Nothobranchius furzeri: one gene and its partners. The protein of the gene in region 1 interacts with the protein of each later gene in a biochemical or structural test. Links are inferred from orthologs where the notes say so. Each region holds a gene or a part of one and is shown in the gene's direction. Other genes may lie near its edges.

The links. The genes of interacting proteins can lie anywhere in the genome.
Region 2: of the proteins of siah1 (region 1) and hipk2, one has a biochemical effect on the other in vitro, tested with the Homo sapiens proteins (4 studies listed by BioGRID, with this or other methods). The link is inferred for Nothobranchius furzeri from reciprocal best matches to the Homo sapiens genes SIAH1 and HIPK2.
Region 3: the proteins of siah1 (region 1) and POU domain class 2-associating factor 1 form a complex in vitro, tested with the Homo sapiens proteins (2 studies listed by BioGRID). The link is inferred for Nothobranchius furzeri from reciprocal best matches to the Homo sapiens genes SIAH1 and POU2AF1.

The regions. Positions count from the first base shown.
Region 1 is NC_091744.1:81,653,589-81,659,064, forward strand, and holds the start of siah1 (E3 ubiquitin-protein ligase Siah1), read left to right. Parts: upstream 1-1,788; 5' UTR 1,789-2,018; coding exon 2,019-2,136; intron 2,137-4,317; coding exon 4,318-4,374; intron 4,375-5,476. UniProt on the Homo sapiens protein: E3 ubiquitin-protein ligase that mediates ubiquitination and subsequent proteasomal degradation of target proteins.
Region 2 is NC_091744.1:79,009,689-79,014,579, forward strand, and holds part of hipk2 (homeodomain-interacting protein kinase 2), read left to right. Parts: intron 1-440; coding exon 441-571; intron 572-1,204; coding exon 1,205-1,387; intron 1,388-1,532; coding exon 1,533-1,856; intron 1,857-4,891.
Region 3 is NC_091753.1:21,185,623-21,190,513, forward strand, and holds part of POU domain class 2-associating factor 1, read left to right. Parts: intron 1-2,667; coding exon 2,668-2,707; intron 2,708-2,780; coding exon 2,781-3,070; intron 3,071-4,891. UniProt on the Homo sapiens protein: Transcriptional coactivator that specifically associates with either POU2F1/OCT1 or POU2F2/OCT2. It boosts the POU2F1/OCT1 mediated promoter activity and to a lesser extent, that of POU2F2/OCT2. It recognizes the POU domains of POU2F1/OCT1 and POU2F2/OCT2.

The DNA.
Region 1 (5,476 bases):
TGAGTTACACAGCCCGGTCTCTTTGTACCTTAATATCTGTTAATAACTGTAAAGTCACCAGATGTAATGATGGAAATTATTAGTTCATTAAAGCTTGGACATATTTATTCATTTAAAAGCTTTTTTAAATGGTACAAAATCAGCTTATGAATGAGTCTAGTTCTAAAGCGGATTAGAAGGTTGTAACTAGAGCTGCAACGATACCACTTTTTTCCAAACCGATACGATACTTGGATCTGAGTACTCGCCGATACCGATTACCGATACCGATACTTCTACCACACAAAAAATGCAATGATTTGGAATACAGATTTTATTTTCTTCTCTGCTTTCAACAGGAAAAGACTGTGAGGTAGATGAAAAGTAAAATATATGAATGGAAATCATAACAAAACTAAAATATTAGGTGAACAGAAATGACAAGTTACAGTGAAGCCATTTTCAAGCAACTGCATTGGTATCGGTTAACTTTTACCGATACCGGTATCGTATCGGTGCATCCCCAGTTGTAACGGGACGTTTTGATTTTCACCTGTCAGGTGGATCCGTTTAGAGATGTGCTCACCAGGTATGCTGGCAGGTGTAACTACCCGCTGGCGTTGAAAGTAAAATCACAATCTCAGAAACACTGAAGGACTTTTGGGAGGCAGGTGTTGTGTTGAAAATGCATCCCTGGCATTAAAACCAACTTAGTGGAACATGTTACCACAACCTGGTGGTTCTGACGCCGTGTATTTAAACGACTCTTCAAATGTTGGAAAATCACCACCCGTCTCTCATGAATGCAGACCCAGCAGGGTACAGTGGAGGATAGTCTTTAGTGTTTGTTTTCGGCTGAGCTGATGGTGACATCATGGTGTCCTGCTGTAGCTTCAGCGCTGCTGCTGGGACATATCGGTTAGTTTAGTTTGGGGATTTTACACAACATTTAAAGTTCAATCTTAAGGTGGAGACTGGGGCACACTCCCGGAGGTTTGACTAACATTTGGAATGGGAATGATTTAACCTGCGGAGCAGGAACGCTGAGGGAGAAGAAGAGTGAAACTAGGAAAGGAAAAGCAGTGAGAAAGTGAGGTTTGGTGTCAGTGAGGGCAGCTGGTGGTGCAGCCTGCAGCGAGACGGGCTGAAATCTGAGCCGTGCACAACCACAGCACTGCACGGGGTGGGGGTGAAATATGCAGGCTTTATGCTGACATAACCATGTGAGAGGCACAGAGAGGGAAGGGAAAATCAGGCCCGTTAAATCACAGGTCTGATGGGAAAATAGGGAAGAGTGTGTTTGGACTGACATCTGATGGCTGCTGGGCTCTTTTACACAAACACGCGACACCTACGTCACTACAGGAGACGACACCCCATGAACACCGGTGGAGGGAGGGAGGGAGATTTCGGACTTTCCCTTCTTTTCCTCTTCAGACTCTGGAAACACTGGGCTCTGATTATTCCTGTCGTAACGCCGTGAAGGAATTGTTTTTTGCTGCTGGAACCATGTCTTGCTCTCATTTTGGTTGCAAACCAGCGTTTTGGAAAAGCGCTTTGTAGGAGAGTTTTTTTTTACACACTTCTGCAGTTTGGTGCCAAATAGTTCCTGAAAACCTGGCCCAAGGAGCCACGGAGGTGGAACGCACACATGGATTATTGTCCAGTGTTGGAGGAAGCGTGGTGGGATGAAGCTTTTTACTGAAACGGAAAACGACGCTGTGTCGGCGGTTCCACGTCCTTTTGTGTAATCGTCCTAGTCTTTGTTTTTTCGTTTGGCTCGTACCCGACAGACAGACTGCTGCAGTTCCCACCTAATAAAGGAATTATTCATGCTCGTAGCTTATTTTCCTCCCCATCCTGTTATTTTTAGTGGGTTTGGAGGACTTGTTTCCTGTTGCGTGGACCCAGCCTTCGTCTCTTTACTACAACATATCCGAGGGGCAGGAGGAAGAAACATGATCCGATGTTTGGGGCAGCAGCAGTGTGTGGTTTCTGTGGAAAAGGTCTGGGGAATGTGGCGGGGGGGCGCTGCATAAATGTCTTTGGTCCAAGTGAAATCAAAGCCAGCGAGCGTAGCTCTACCGTCTCCACCCTGGAACTCCCTGCTCCGACTCTTCTCGTGTGTCGCCACGAGGGATGTCCACACGCCTAAAGGTGAAGGAGCCCAACCCCCGAAGTGCTTCCGTTATCTGGAACTACGCGGTTCCTTTTCCCACTCATGGATCTAATGTGGTGTTGCAGCTGTGGTCAGAGGTGGGGGAGGGAGGAGCTCACCTTCTGCTCAGCTGTTCCGCTTTAAGACAGCTTTGTGTGTGTGTGTGTGTGTGTGTGTGTGTGTGTGTGTCAGTCAGTCATGATTATGTTGAAGCTCCGCTTGTTTTCATCTCTGCTCTAAATGATGATTTTATTCTGTAATAGAACATCCGGTTTTGTTATCAGGGCTTCAAACTATATGATTATTAATCTAGAATATAATCTACAGAACCATAGACGATCCTGCAGAACCGTCCTCCCCAGCAGTGACTCTCAGTAATCCTGGCCTATTTGATCCGGTTCTCATGCGGTTCTGGAAGAGTTCTGATCCAGTTTGCACAGATGCATTTTGGCACAGCTTCTCTGACTGGACCGCTGCAGCACCTTGGTTCTGTTGTAGGTCTGCTGTGTTTGGGGTCGTTGTCCAGTTTTATGAGCCGGTTAGGTCCAAACTTCAGATGAGGTTCTGGTGGACCACAGAACTGGCCCAAACCACCAGCCGTCCTCCACCAGCTGACATCAGCTGTTAGATTTTCTCTAGACGTGCTGCTGTGCATTATGGGTAAACGTCCTCCCTTCAGTCTCCTCAGTCTGAAGGACTTGATGCCCAACGTCTCTGCAGTCTTGATTCTCGTGTGGATTAAACTGAAGTAGCAAAGTTAATTTCCTGTTATTTATGAAGAATTGGTGCGACTTTAGGTGTGATTGGAATCAGACCTGATGGTGTAACAATGATGCAACAATCCCCCCCCCCCCCCATCACATGTTGGTGTAGAAAATGGGGAAAGTTCCAGTGTGAACACACCTTTACCTGTCTGTGTTTTTGGGTCAGGTTTGTTGTTGAATCCTGACATGACATGATCATAAAATCCCGGAGACAATCGCTGAGTTAAGAAAGCAAAAGGATGGACAGACGAGTAGACGTCAAACTCAGTGGTTATTCTTTTGTCCTTTTTAAGAGGATGAACTGTTCGGAACTGAACTCAAAGGAGAATCAGAATGAAAAAATCTGATTCCAATTTTAATTGTCCCACAGAAATTTTTTGTGCCATTGACTCCCATTCAAACATAAAAAAAAGCTAAATATCACCATACATTTTTTAAAATTTCACTCCAACTGTGTTCCTGCAGCCACCAGGGACTGAAGTTATTTTTACTTTTTTCCTCTAAATGGCATGGCACTGATTTATAACACACTCTAGTAATGTATGTTTTGGAGATTGTGTGGCCAAAAATATTTTTATGCTCATTTGTGACTAGAGCCCTCACAATTCACCCCCAAAAAGTCCTCTGGACATGACACACAAATGATTTAGCATTTTATATTTTTATAATGGTTTTTTTTTTTTTTTTTGACAAAACATGGCACTAAAGGGGTTAAATCTCAAAAACACCCCCCCCCCCCACCCATTTTCTGAACCTGCTTTGTCCACGCAGGGGGGTGGGGGTGTTGGTGCCTATCTCCAGCGGTCAACGGGCACAGGGTACACCCTGGACAGAGAGCCAGTCCATCGCAGATCTCAAAAACACTCAGATATTTTACTTTGTTTGGTGAGGACTGAAGCTAAGGAAAGAATCTGTGTTAAAGATTTTTGACTTTTGAAATGTTATATAATTTTTTATTAAACATTTTGCCAAAATGCATTTTTTTTTGTGCGAGGGTACCAAGTGTAGCTTTTTTTTAAAAGGAAACTCCAAAGGTTAAAAATTAAAGAGATAAATGAAGCGTTGGGTTTGTTAAATATGAATGAAATGTGCTGGCGTCACCAGACAGCCCATTATGGACGTGTCCCTGTAATGGACGCTCCATTAGCAGCAGGTGAGTGGCTGAGAGGTTCTGAGTCTTCTGCTGTCCTCCAGCTGCTGAGCTGATTCCACACACGGGCCTTAAAGTGTCCTTGTCCAAACACTGACTTTAGTTTTAACCACATTCTTTATTTCTACATTTTATTGTCCGATTAAAAGCAGCTCCTCTTGTTTTTGCTGCAAGGATGAAACCTGAATCTGGACTCGATCAGCGCTTGAACTGAAGGGAGCAGATAGTTGAGTTTGTTTTACATTTGTGTGTTTTTGTCTTTTCAGAGGTCCCTTCATTTCAAGATCAGACGAAAGCCTTATTTGGAAATCTTATGGACGAAGGTGAGTAGCAGAGCCTCCGGGAGGTGACCCCCTCTTCTCATAACTAGTTATTGTGAATTTATCTGAGCTGCAGGTTCTCGTGCTTATAACTGATGGCTGCTGATTCATGTGAGGGAAGCTAGATTTTCTGTTTTTAAAACCCAAAATAGTTCTGATCATCAGTAAGTTACCAGTATTGATGTAATCCGTCTCATGCGTGACCCAAGTCAGCATGTGGGGAGCGTTCTAACCACAATGATCCTGAGCTATGTGGGAGTATGGAGGTTGGGTTAGGCGAGACCTCCCGCTGAGGGAGGTGTGTCGGTTCTCTGCTTTTATCTTGGCAGCATCGACTCCTCGGCACAACATGTGCCAGTGCCGTTTATTAGCGTGTAGCAGCTCGCTGCAGCCGTGTGTGCTGCCAGCTGTCGATTACAGCCGCTGTTTGAGGAGGTCAAGTCTCAAAATCCTGCAAAAAGATCTTTTCTGTCTGAAGAATGTGTTTTCTGTGTTTGTGTTGGTGGTCTGTCCGCCCACAATGCTTCTTTTAAAGCTTTGTTAGTTCAGGTCTGATATTCTTGTGTCAGACTTAAATCACAACCGTAAGTAAATCTAAATTATCTCACCAAACCGAAACCAAAAGCAGGAAGTGTGGTTCTGTTTGTCAGACGGATGAACTGATGGTCGGTAATCTGGGTTGTCGTTGTTTATGATGGTTAAAGGAGGGTTCTGGAGCCGGCCGTGACTCGGGCCTTGGCTGAGCTGAATGTTCTGAGCTAATTTAGTCCCGCTGCTGCTAGCATGCTAGTCAGCTAAGAGGTTCTAAGAATAGCTGCGTCTCAGTCACAGCTAGTGTTTGGAGTCAGGCGGAGGAATGGCGTCACGAGAGCCCCGCCTTTACCTCTGCAGCTGGTGTGAGCGTGCATGTCTACGTGCACGTGCTGTATATTTGCCTTATTTTTACCCGCTTGATCCGGTTCACTGTCACGAGGGAGTTGGCGTCCATCTCCTGCACTCATTGGGCGGAGTTACACCTGGATAGGTCACATGTTCATTAATGTGTCAAATACATGCTAACAAGGCAGGCGACCAATCCCACTCGCACCTACAGATTAAGCTAACG
Region 2 (4,891 bases), about 2.6 Mb from region 1:
CTTTTATTCAGCATCACAAATACAATGTTGCCTCTTTCAGAGCAACATGAATAGATCTAGGATTTTAATTAGGTTGATTTGACACAAGTCAAAGATGTAGTCTCACACACACACACACACACACACACACACACACACATGCACGCAGGCACACACAAAAAAGGTGTTGTAACATCAAATCCAGGCCGTCTCTCTTCTCCTGACAGATGTCTCCTTGAAACAGGTATGATATTTTTGGCTAGGTTTACTCCCTCGCCTACAAATGGGCTAGACTCAACCAGCTCCCTTTGTTCACAGTTTCATATCATTTGAAAGGAAACGTCGCAGCCTCTTTCACACTTTTTGAATGCTTTATTTCATGGCAGCTTTGTGTTTTTCCGCGTCTGCTGCTGCTGACCTTTAAATGTCTGTTTATCGCCGACCCTGTGCCCCCTCCTCAGCAGGCCTGGCCCAGCGGCACCCAGCAGATCCTGCTGCCTCCAGCGTGGCAGCAGCTCACCCACACCTCAGTCCAACACGCCACTGTCATCCCTGATTCCATGAGCGGCACACAGACTCTCGCCAACTGGAGGTAAGCAACAGGACTTTCACAAATGCCATTGACTCTCATAAGTTCTGATTTGTTTAAACAACTTATTCATCATTCAGAGCAAATAAAGGCTGGTGCTCAAATAGGAACCATTTTGCCCCCGTGAGTTGGGTTAGATGTCTACGTGGAGACGTCACAAAGCCTCTGGCCTGTCACTTAATTAACTTGATAAATAAACAGATAGATGGGACAGGATATGTGCAGGGACTTAAGGGGATGCAGGTATATACAGTAATCTGTACAAATGGAGGACTACTGGGGGCCGTGTATTCAGAGCTGTCCGTCTCTGACGAGACAGTCTCTCCCTCCCTTCCTGTCCAGTGGCAGCTCTGTAGTCCTCAGAGAGAACGCTGGGAAAGTGTCGCACTTCCTCTGCAGAGCTATCGCTCCGCAGCTGCTGGTGTCAGCTCCTCTGCCCTCCCTCTTTGCTCTCTTCTCATTTTCGTCTTCATTCAGTCTTTGCTGCCACCCACCGTCCACCACAGGAAATACTTCTTTATTTATCCAGCCAGCGTTACTGACTCTTCTCAGTGCAGTAGTATTTCTTTTTTCCACTTTGCATTGACAGTTTTACTGCGGTTGAATCGTCAGAACCAAAACTGTGTTTTATTTCAGGAATTCCCACCCCCACGGAAGCCATTATAATCCCATTATGCAGCAGCCGGCCTTATTGACTGGCCACGTCACTCTCCCGACGAACCAGACCCTCAATGTGGGAGTGGCGCATGTCATGAGGCAGCCGTCAACCAATAGCAGCTCATCTTCCAAAAAGAGCAAACAGCACCAGATGGCCGCCAGGTAATGAAACACCCACAAACCTTCACTCTGGCTGGTAAAAACCACCAGCAGCAGGAATTTGTCTTCATTCTAAAGTCCTTGATCCTCCTTGTCAATATCATTAGTCTTGTAAACTCATCCGCATTCATCTCTGTGTTTCTGGAAGGAACGTATCGGCCTACGAGGTGTCGTCCTCCCAGGTTGTGCTGTCGCCGCAGCGCTCCAAGCGAGTGAAGGAGAACACTCCCCCTCGCTGCGCCGTGCTGCAAAACGGCTCGGCGTCCAACTGCCCGCCCACGCAGGGGTTTGCCCATGGAGGGTGGGGGGCTAATGAAGCGGAGCAGGCTTCCAGCACCACTCGCGACCATCAGCATCAGCACCACGTCCCCAGACAGACCATCATCATCCCTGACACACCCAGCCCCGCTGTCAGCATCATTACCATCAGCAGCGACACGGATGAGGAAGATGAGCACAAACAAAACAACAGGTTAGTTCTGACCTGTAGGAGTTGATGTAGTAGTATGACATGCATCACGAAACTTTCAAGCTTCGACTTAAATAAGCCACATATGAGGATTTGACGATGAAATAATCACAATACGATATTATATGTCTTGATCATGGGGAAGGAAGGTCAGTGTTACGACCTGTTATGGTGAAAGCACATGAGCGTAACACGAAAAGCGTAACGGAGGCATTTGGAGTCAGTCATTCATGCCTTCATTACCTCTCGCCTGGACTACGCAAACGCCCTCGTCGTTGGTGTTCCGGTCTCTGTCCTGAATCGGCTGCAGGTTGTCCAGAACGCTGCTGCCAGGTTCTTGACGGGTACACACCGACGTAGCCACATTACCCCTGTCCTGGAATGTCTTCACTGGCTCCCTGTCTTTTTCAGAGTGCAGTTTAAGTTACTGACTTTTGTTTTTAAAGCACTCAATGACCTGGCACCTCCCTACCTCTCTGCCCTGCTCACTCCATATGTGCCCACGCGCATGTTGAGGTCGGCTGACCTTTTGCTGCTGTACACGCCGCGGATGAGACTCAAATCGCGGGGTGATCGAGCATTTGTGCATGCTGCCCCAAAGCTATGGAACTCATTGCCCATTGGAGTTCGGCAGGCTCCATCTCTGGCGGTTTTTAAATCTCGTTTAAAGACCCACTTTTACACTTTGGCTTTTAGACAGTGACTTGTTTTATTGTATCATTGTTTTAATTGTGTTCTTAGTATTCATCATGGTTTATCTGCCTTTGATTGAGATTTGTATCCTCTGTTTTAGCTCCTTGTAATGGTTGAGTTTTGTTTTAGCCTGTGCAGCACTTTGGGCAGCTCCAATGCTGCATTTTAAACGTGCTATATAAATAAACAATGCTATGCTATGCTATGCTATGCTATGCTATGTGCAAGATGGTAAAACAAACAAAGGATTTAAAACTCCACCAGCAGTAACACCCCCTCCCTTAAAAGAAAGAAAAAATGTTAAAACAGAACCAACACCAATGTCTCTTCTTTCCAACCTTCTGTCCTCCTGTGGGGTTTTTTTCCTCTTTGAGTTATTTTACCACTTTTACCATTCCCTCTAGCTACTCAGGTGAGACACAAACTAATCTCCACCCTGGTCTTCATGTGGGGCTGGGGGAGGCAGATTAAACATGAAATCAGTGGGGAGTAAGACGCCCTAACAATAAACAGACTCATCCTAAAAGAATGAGCCCCTACAGCCTACAGGGAATCCATTTCACTAGTTTTTTTCTTTCTTTCTTAAAACTCTGAAAACAGAGACAAAGATAAAATAACAAACAACCACAAGGACGATGACACAGCTCAGCAAACAGATTCACACCTAAAATCCTTCTGAATTTAACCCGTTTGAAAACACCTGACAAAAAGTGATATGTATGACTTGTCTGGTCTTGCTTGTCATCTATAATCTTCTGCTGCTGGTCCATAACTGGCAACAGCTATTAAACTCACAGAATGGCAGTGAGATTGTTTAAAAAATGGACTGCAGCACCCAAATTTGACCACAGGATGTCATTATTACTTTATGCTTACTTATTGCTCCTTTAATGTTGCTATTCTTATAATCTAACATTTCCAGGTTTGCAGCTTAGTGTTTGTGATGATAATTATTAGCTCACATGTGGTTTTTTACTGCGCTGGATAAGTAAATTGTAGGGATGAGCCGGATACTCGTTTCAGACGAGTATCCGGTACGGATAAAGCATTTTTGACGAGTACGAGCATGAAACGAGTAAAACTCGTAAATATCTGTAATCGTGCTGAAGGAAAATCCTCATTGGGTAACTTACTGTCTTCACGCTCTGTGATTGGCCAGTCAAATAGAGCGCCCGCCCCTCCCTACACACAAAATTCTGCAGCCGGGAGCTCACAGCTCAGTCCGCGTCCGGTCCATCCACACACACACACACACACACACACACACACACACACACACACACACACACACACACACACACACACACACACACACACACACACACACACACACACACACACACACACACACACACACACACACAGACAGTAACGGATCTCTCTGTGCTTGCTTCACTGTTCACGTTTCTTCAGTACTCCCTATGTTTTCTTCAGTCAGCTTCTTTTTAAAGTTACTTTAAAGTTATTTAAAGTTACTTTTTTCGTAACGTACGTGGTGCATTTGACAAGACAGAGCTGAAAACGGCTCGTGCTGCGTCAGTCACTGCCTCCGCTCCGGTCGGGGTTTTTTTCCTCTCTGTCTCTCCTCTTCCTCAGGATCCACTCCCTCTTTCCTATTCACTCTCGCTCTTTCTTTACATTTTTTAATCACAATTGTCTATTTTTTGCTCATTTAAAATATATATTTAATCATTTTCTAAATTCTTTTTTCTATTTTACATGTTTTGTTTTGGTGAAGCGCCTCGTCATTGTTATCTTGAGAGGCGCTATAGAAAATATCTTTTCTTCTCTCTCTCTCTTAATTCATGCACTTAAATATTAATGTTCTGATTTTATTGAAAAACTTGATTTGTAATAGTTCCTTTACTATTGTGATCAAAAACATTTAATCTCAACTCTGAGGCTGCTCTGTAAATAGTTTTCACATAAACAATACACATATCAACTTCTGATCAGACTTAAAATAACGTATTGATGTAAACCACACCCACTTCCGGTTAAACTACACCCACTTCCGGGTTAGGCCACGCCCACTCCGAGTACAGATACAGATAATTTAGATGGTTGAACAGATACAGATAGTGGTGTACTCGCTCATCCCTAGTAAATTGGTATGGTAGTACGTGGTATAATTGTATCATTAAAGGCTACAAAAATAATTTAAAAAAAACGCATGTGACAACATGGTATTGTTTTAAAAGCTAAAGGGGAAAAGCTGCATGATGCATTTTATCTATTTGATCAATATTCAGCATCAGGAGGAATGGCTACTGTCACAGTGAATATAGACTGTTTATTATTGCATTACACTGTTAAATGTACTTTATGTGCAGTAACAGAAATTT
Region 3 (4,891 bases), on another chromosome or scaffold:
TTTCTTAGAACACATTTAAATTAGAGTCATACACATTCATTAAACATAATAAACGGACGGAGGAATGTCAGGATGTGTAACCAAACATGTATATTGACAATTTAAAGAGAACAGAAAATAAAAGTGAACACTTCTGCAGTTAAAATTGGTCCTCAGTGCTGACTAGGCTAAACAAATGTTGTTTTTCAAACTCTAAAAAAAGACCTCTAAGTATGCCCTCATTGACCCCTCTCGAGATAAATATCATAGAGGTGGTCCACACACACAAATACCTTGGTGTCTGGCTCCGGCTCCCTCTCCTTCAAGCCCCACATAGATAGTCTTGTGAAGAAACTCAAACTCAGACTGGGTTTCTTTTTTTTTTCAAATAAACAGTTTATCTTTTGAGGCAAAATAAATAAATAAATAAATAAATAAACCTAGTTACTGCAACATTTTTGTCCATTCTGGATTATGGAGACCTTTATATGAATGCCTCAGCACAGTTTCTTGGTAAGATTGATGTGGGTTATTGTGCCTCGCTGAGGTTTATTACTAACCATAGACCACTGACCCATCATTATGAACTGTATTCTCGAGTGGGATGGCCTTCTCTATCAACCAGGAGGTTGGGACATTGGTCACCTTCATTAACCCTTTAGGCGCCATAGTATTTTCACCCCCCGGGGCTGAATCAATCACCAGCGGAGTTTTCACCGGCCCGGTTTTCAGAAGTTTGAGTTCAGCTCATAAGAAATGGGAGTGAAAACAAAAGTGTTTTGTTTGTATTTATATTTTTTTCAGTGTATGTGGTGCTTGACGAAGAGGGAGTCATCAAGCCAGACAACAATGTATTTGTATGTGTGGACCACCTCTATGATATTAACCTAAAGAGTCACTGAGGGCATACTTAGAGGTCTTTTCTTGGACTTTATAAATAACAATAATAGTAGTTAATAGTCGTTCATTTCATTCATCAATATAATAAAACTATATGTTAGTTAATTGATGTTCGTGATTTGCTGCTAATACCAAAGCTAAGAGCATCAAATGATTTTTGGGCTTGTATTAAATGAATTGTGAATTTCTCTAACACTTTGTTCTCACCACATTCTTGGGGCTGAACCTCTTTCTTGTCTGTTTTTTGACAGTTATTTCCTCAGAGATCTTCACTTGAGCCTCTTGTGAAGTGTGACATGTCCTGGCCAGTACAAACTCTGGTCTCTTATCTCCCAGAGTAAAAAACTAACAGTTTCTCAATTCTAGTGGAGTATTTGAAAGCCTACAGTCAAACCTCATTTATGTTTTCATTCCATCAATCTGAAGTGTCCTTTCACGCACAAAGGAAATGCACTCATTCTCAGTGCACATCCAGATGTGTTTAGGGAGCACGAAGAGTCTCATGTCTCAGTTCAACCAGTTTACAGACAAATCTGATTAGCATGTTCGGATACTTAACCGCAACAATTATGGCTTTTTTTTTTGCTTTGATAAGTTCAATCACCCCTATCCCCTATTCCCCCACAAGCACACACACTCCACAGATCTAGTGAATGGGTTGTACATTCACACATATCTCACAAAACAGCTGCTCACAAAAGAGCTCCAACTTCCCTCAGATCTCAAGTAAAAGTGATGATTGAGAAGTTAAGCAACCTGTCTTTCCTGTACTGGCGTGGTGCTTTAACCCTTCACCTCCTGTCAAAGCTGTAGTTTTAACCTCTCTTCTTCTAACATCAGTCAGGTGCCTGACACCACATACCCCCCCCCCCCCCCCCCCCCGGTCTGTGAACATACCTGGCAAGGGGGACATGTTTTATGGCAACTGTTTTCAGTCAGTCTCAAAAATAGACAATTGTCATTTAAAAATGCAAAGAAAGAGAGGGAGTGAATAGGAAAGAGGGAAAGCAGTGGATCCCAGGGAGGGCGGAATAAGTAGAAAGAGCAGAATAAGGAGGGGGTGGTGATGAAGATCACTCAAAAGTCAGCTTGAACAGGTGAGTTTTCAGCTGCTTTTTAACAATTGTAATTAAAAACCATGAGCTGGACTAGTTTGTTATAATATGTGTGAACTGAACTTTGAACTAGTTCATTTGTAAAACAAACTTTCCCAACACTACAAGCTTCAGAAGTGGGAGCAGTTGATGCTTTTTTGCTTTGTCTTGTTTCTGCTATCTAATAAATCAAACAGAATGCTTCTGAGAACAGTTAATCTACCTGTGACTGCAGACTGACCTTATGCTGCTTTCAAGAAACACATCAGTTTACAAACTTGATCAGGTTACAGCTTGTTGAGAATCAAAGGCTGAGGAAGACATGAATCCACTGTGGTCTTTTTGGAATGGTTAAATACCAAATGTTTACATTTACAAACCTCCAGATGATCTTCGGTCAGTTCCATGTCAGCAGAGACCAAATGATGAAATAATTTTACACAGCGGTCTGTTTTTGAACATTAAACATATTTTGCTTTTGTGCAAACGTCACAAACTCAACTATGATTTCAGCGGTTGGATGTAGACATTAACAGAGGCTTGTGTCTATTGCTGGATTTGCATTAGAGCTAATGGGACACGAGCCACTTATAAACTGTCAGGCTGTAATTACAAACTCAAATATGCTGCTTACACCCGGTCATTAAAGGTCATTACACCTGGCTGTTGTTAAAGTAATCTGTCTTTTTGTTAGGATGTGGAGGCTCATAACAATCAGTCATCATTTACACAAGGTAAGTGTCTAACATTTATTAAACATCAACTGAAAGGAAGAAGGTTTTCTATGCGTCACTGTTTTATACCCAGGAAGTTTTGGCTCTGATGCTGCAGCTGGTTCCTCAGCTGAGCTGGCTGCAGCTGGTGATGAAGGGCTGCTGTGTGCTGGGTGGAAAACAATGTCCTCTGTCACCAATGCTGCTCCGCAACCTGCTGTCATGGCCTGGTCTCCTTCTGACTACAACCAGCAGGACCCCACTGCTCAGACTCTGGCCTACCCTGCTGCCCCAGCCCTTGCTGCTGATGTGTACATGCAGACACTGTGCCCCAGCTACACCATGCTAACCTACACTCACACACCACTGCTGACTAACTTTGGGGTGAGTAGGAGATCCTAATGGTAACCTAAAATCAGATTTAGAACCAAAGATAAGACATTATGATAAATATTTTGAATAAAGGCAACGTATTATGAACATCTCCCTTTTTGACTCTATACACCTCCGGACATAATTAAAAACCAGGTGCTTCTACAAGCCATTTGAAAATATCCCTTTTTGTGACATCACAATAAGGGAACTTAGCATAGAACAAAGGAGGCCCCTGCACTAAGAAGTTTTCTGAGCCCCTCCTAAAGTTCTTCACCTCATGGCAGCAACTCAGGATGTGGATTAGCGTGGCCAGCAACAGCCTGTTTACATAAAAATGACAGAGCCCGGAAATGGCTGATTCTGAAAATGTCTAGAATAGAGCTGCTGAGATTGTGCAAAGACCATAAAACTATAAACAGATATAGTTGATCTACAGCAGTGGAGTTTAGCTGTGTTCAGTGGATATACAGAGCCAGATGAGTCAACTCGACTAAATAAATGTCTGAAAGTAGCCGCTAGTGTTGCATTTTAACCTTTTTATTTTGGTGAAACTCAAAAAATCTGAATCTGGTGCAAACTCAATTTATTTCAGTAATTCCACTTAAAAAGGTGTGTTCCAACTAAAAGGCGTTCACACTCCTGAGCCTCCCTGGTAAGGACTATTCCAGGGTTCTGGAGAGGAGGGTCTGTCAGTTTGTTGAAGCTTGGGGTCAGAAGGAGCAATGTAGTTTTTGTCCTGGCCGGGGAACACCGGACCAGCTCTATACTCTTGAGGGGTTTCTGGAGGGTGCATGGCAGAGGCGTGGACTCGAGTCTTTATTTGAATGACTTCTGACGTGACTTGATAAAATGTATAAAGACTTACGACTTGACTTGGACTTGAACGCCAATGACTTGCGACTTGAATCGATTTACATCTGTTGACTTGATGATGACTTGAGCATATTTGATATTTTAGCACAAAAGTGACTCGACATGGACAAAAATCATAAATCATTCTTGGCTCTGGGTTTGATCTTGTTCTGCTAAATGCAGCAGCACTTTGTTTATAAACAGTTTCAGTTGCACTTTCTGCTTGTTGGAGCAAATAAATGAAGCTTTAAGAAGCTTTATTTCTGGAATTTATTTATTTATTATCATTGCCATTAAATTAAAGTTGACAAATGACTTGATTATGACTTGAAAATTCAAAGTTAAAGACTTAGGCTTGACTTGGACTTCCACATCTTTGACTTTGGACTCGACTTGGACTTGGTTGTCTTTGACTTGGACGTGAATCGAGACTTCACTGGAAAGACTTGTGACTTACTTGTGACTTACTTGTGACTTGCAAAGCAGTGACTTGGTCACACCTCTGGTGCATGGGAGTTCGCCCAACCAACCAATCTATATGTGTTTTGTGGATTGGAGAAGGGGGGTACTTTGAGAGTATAGAGTACCAAGCCACTTGATACAGGCAGTTAGGCCCCTGTATGACAGGTGTTAGAGCTTGGTTAGGCAGTAAGTCAATCTCATTTCCAGTGAGAGTTGTACTCCATCAAGGTTGCCCTTTGTCATCAATTCTGTTCATAACTTTTAAGGACAGGATTTCAGGACATTATATCAAAATATAAAATACTTTTAACAATGCTACTGTTAACCCAGATAATTTGAATTTACTTAATAAAGCACAGTGGCAGGCAGGTGAAGAGTGAAGGTGGAAACTAACACAAACACTGAATGCCTCACACACCCATGGTTGCCCAAAGCCAAGTCCAGAGGACTTGGCATAAACCACCAAATCGTTATTAATAGAGGAACATCACAGCGTGGTCATTCCCTTGACCAAAC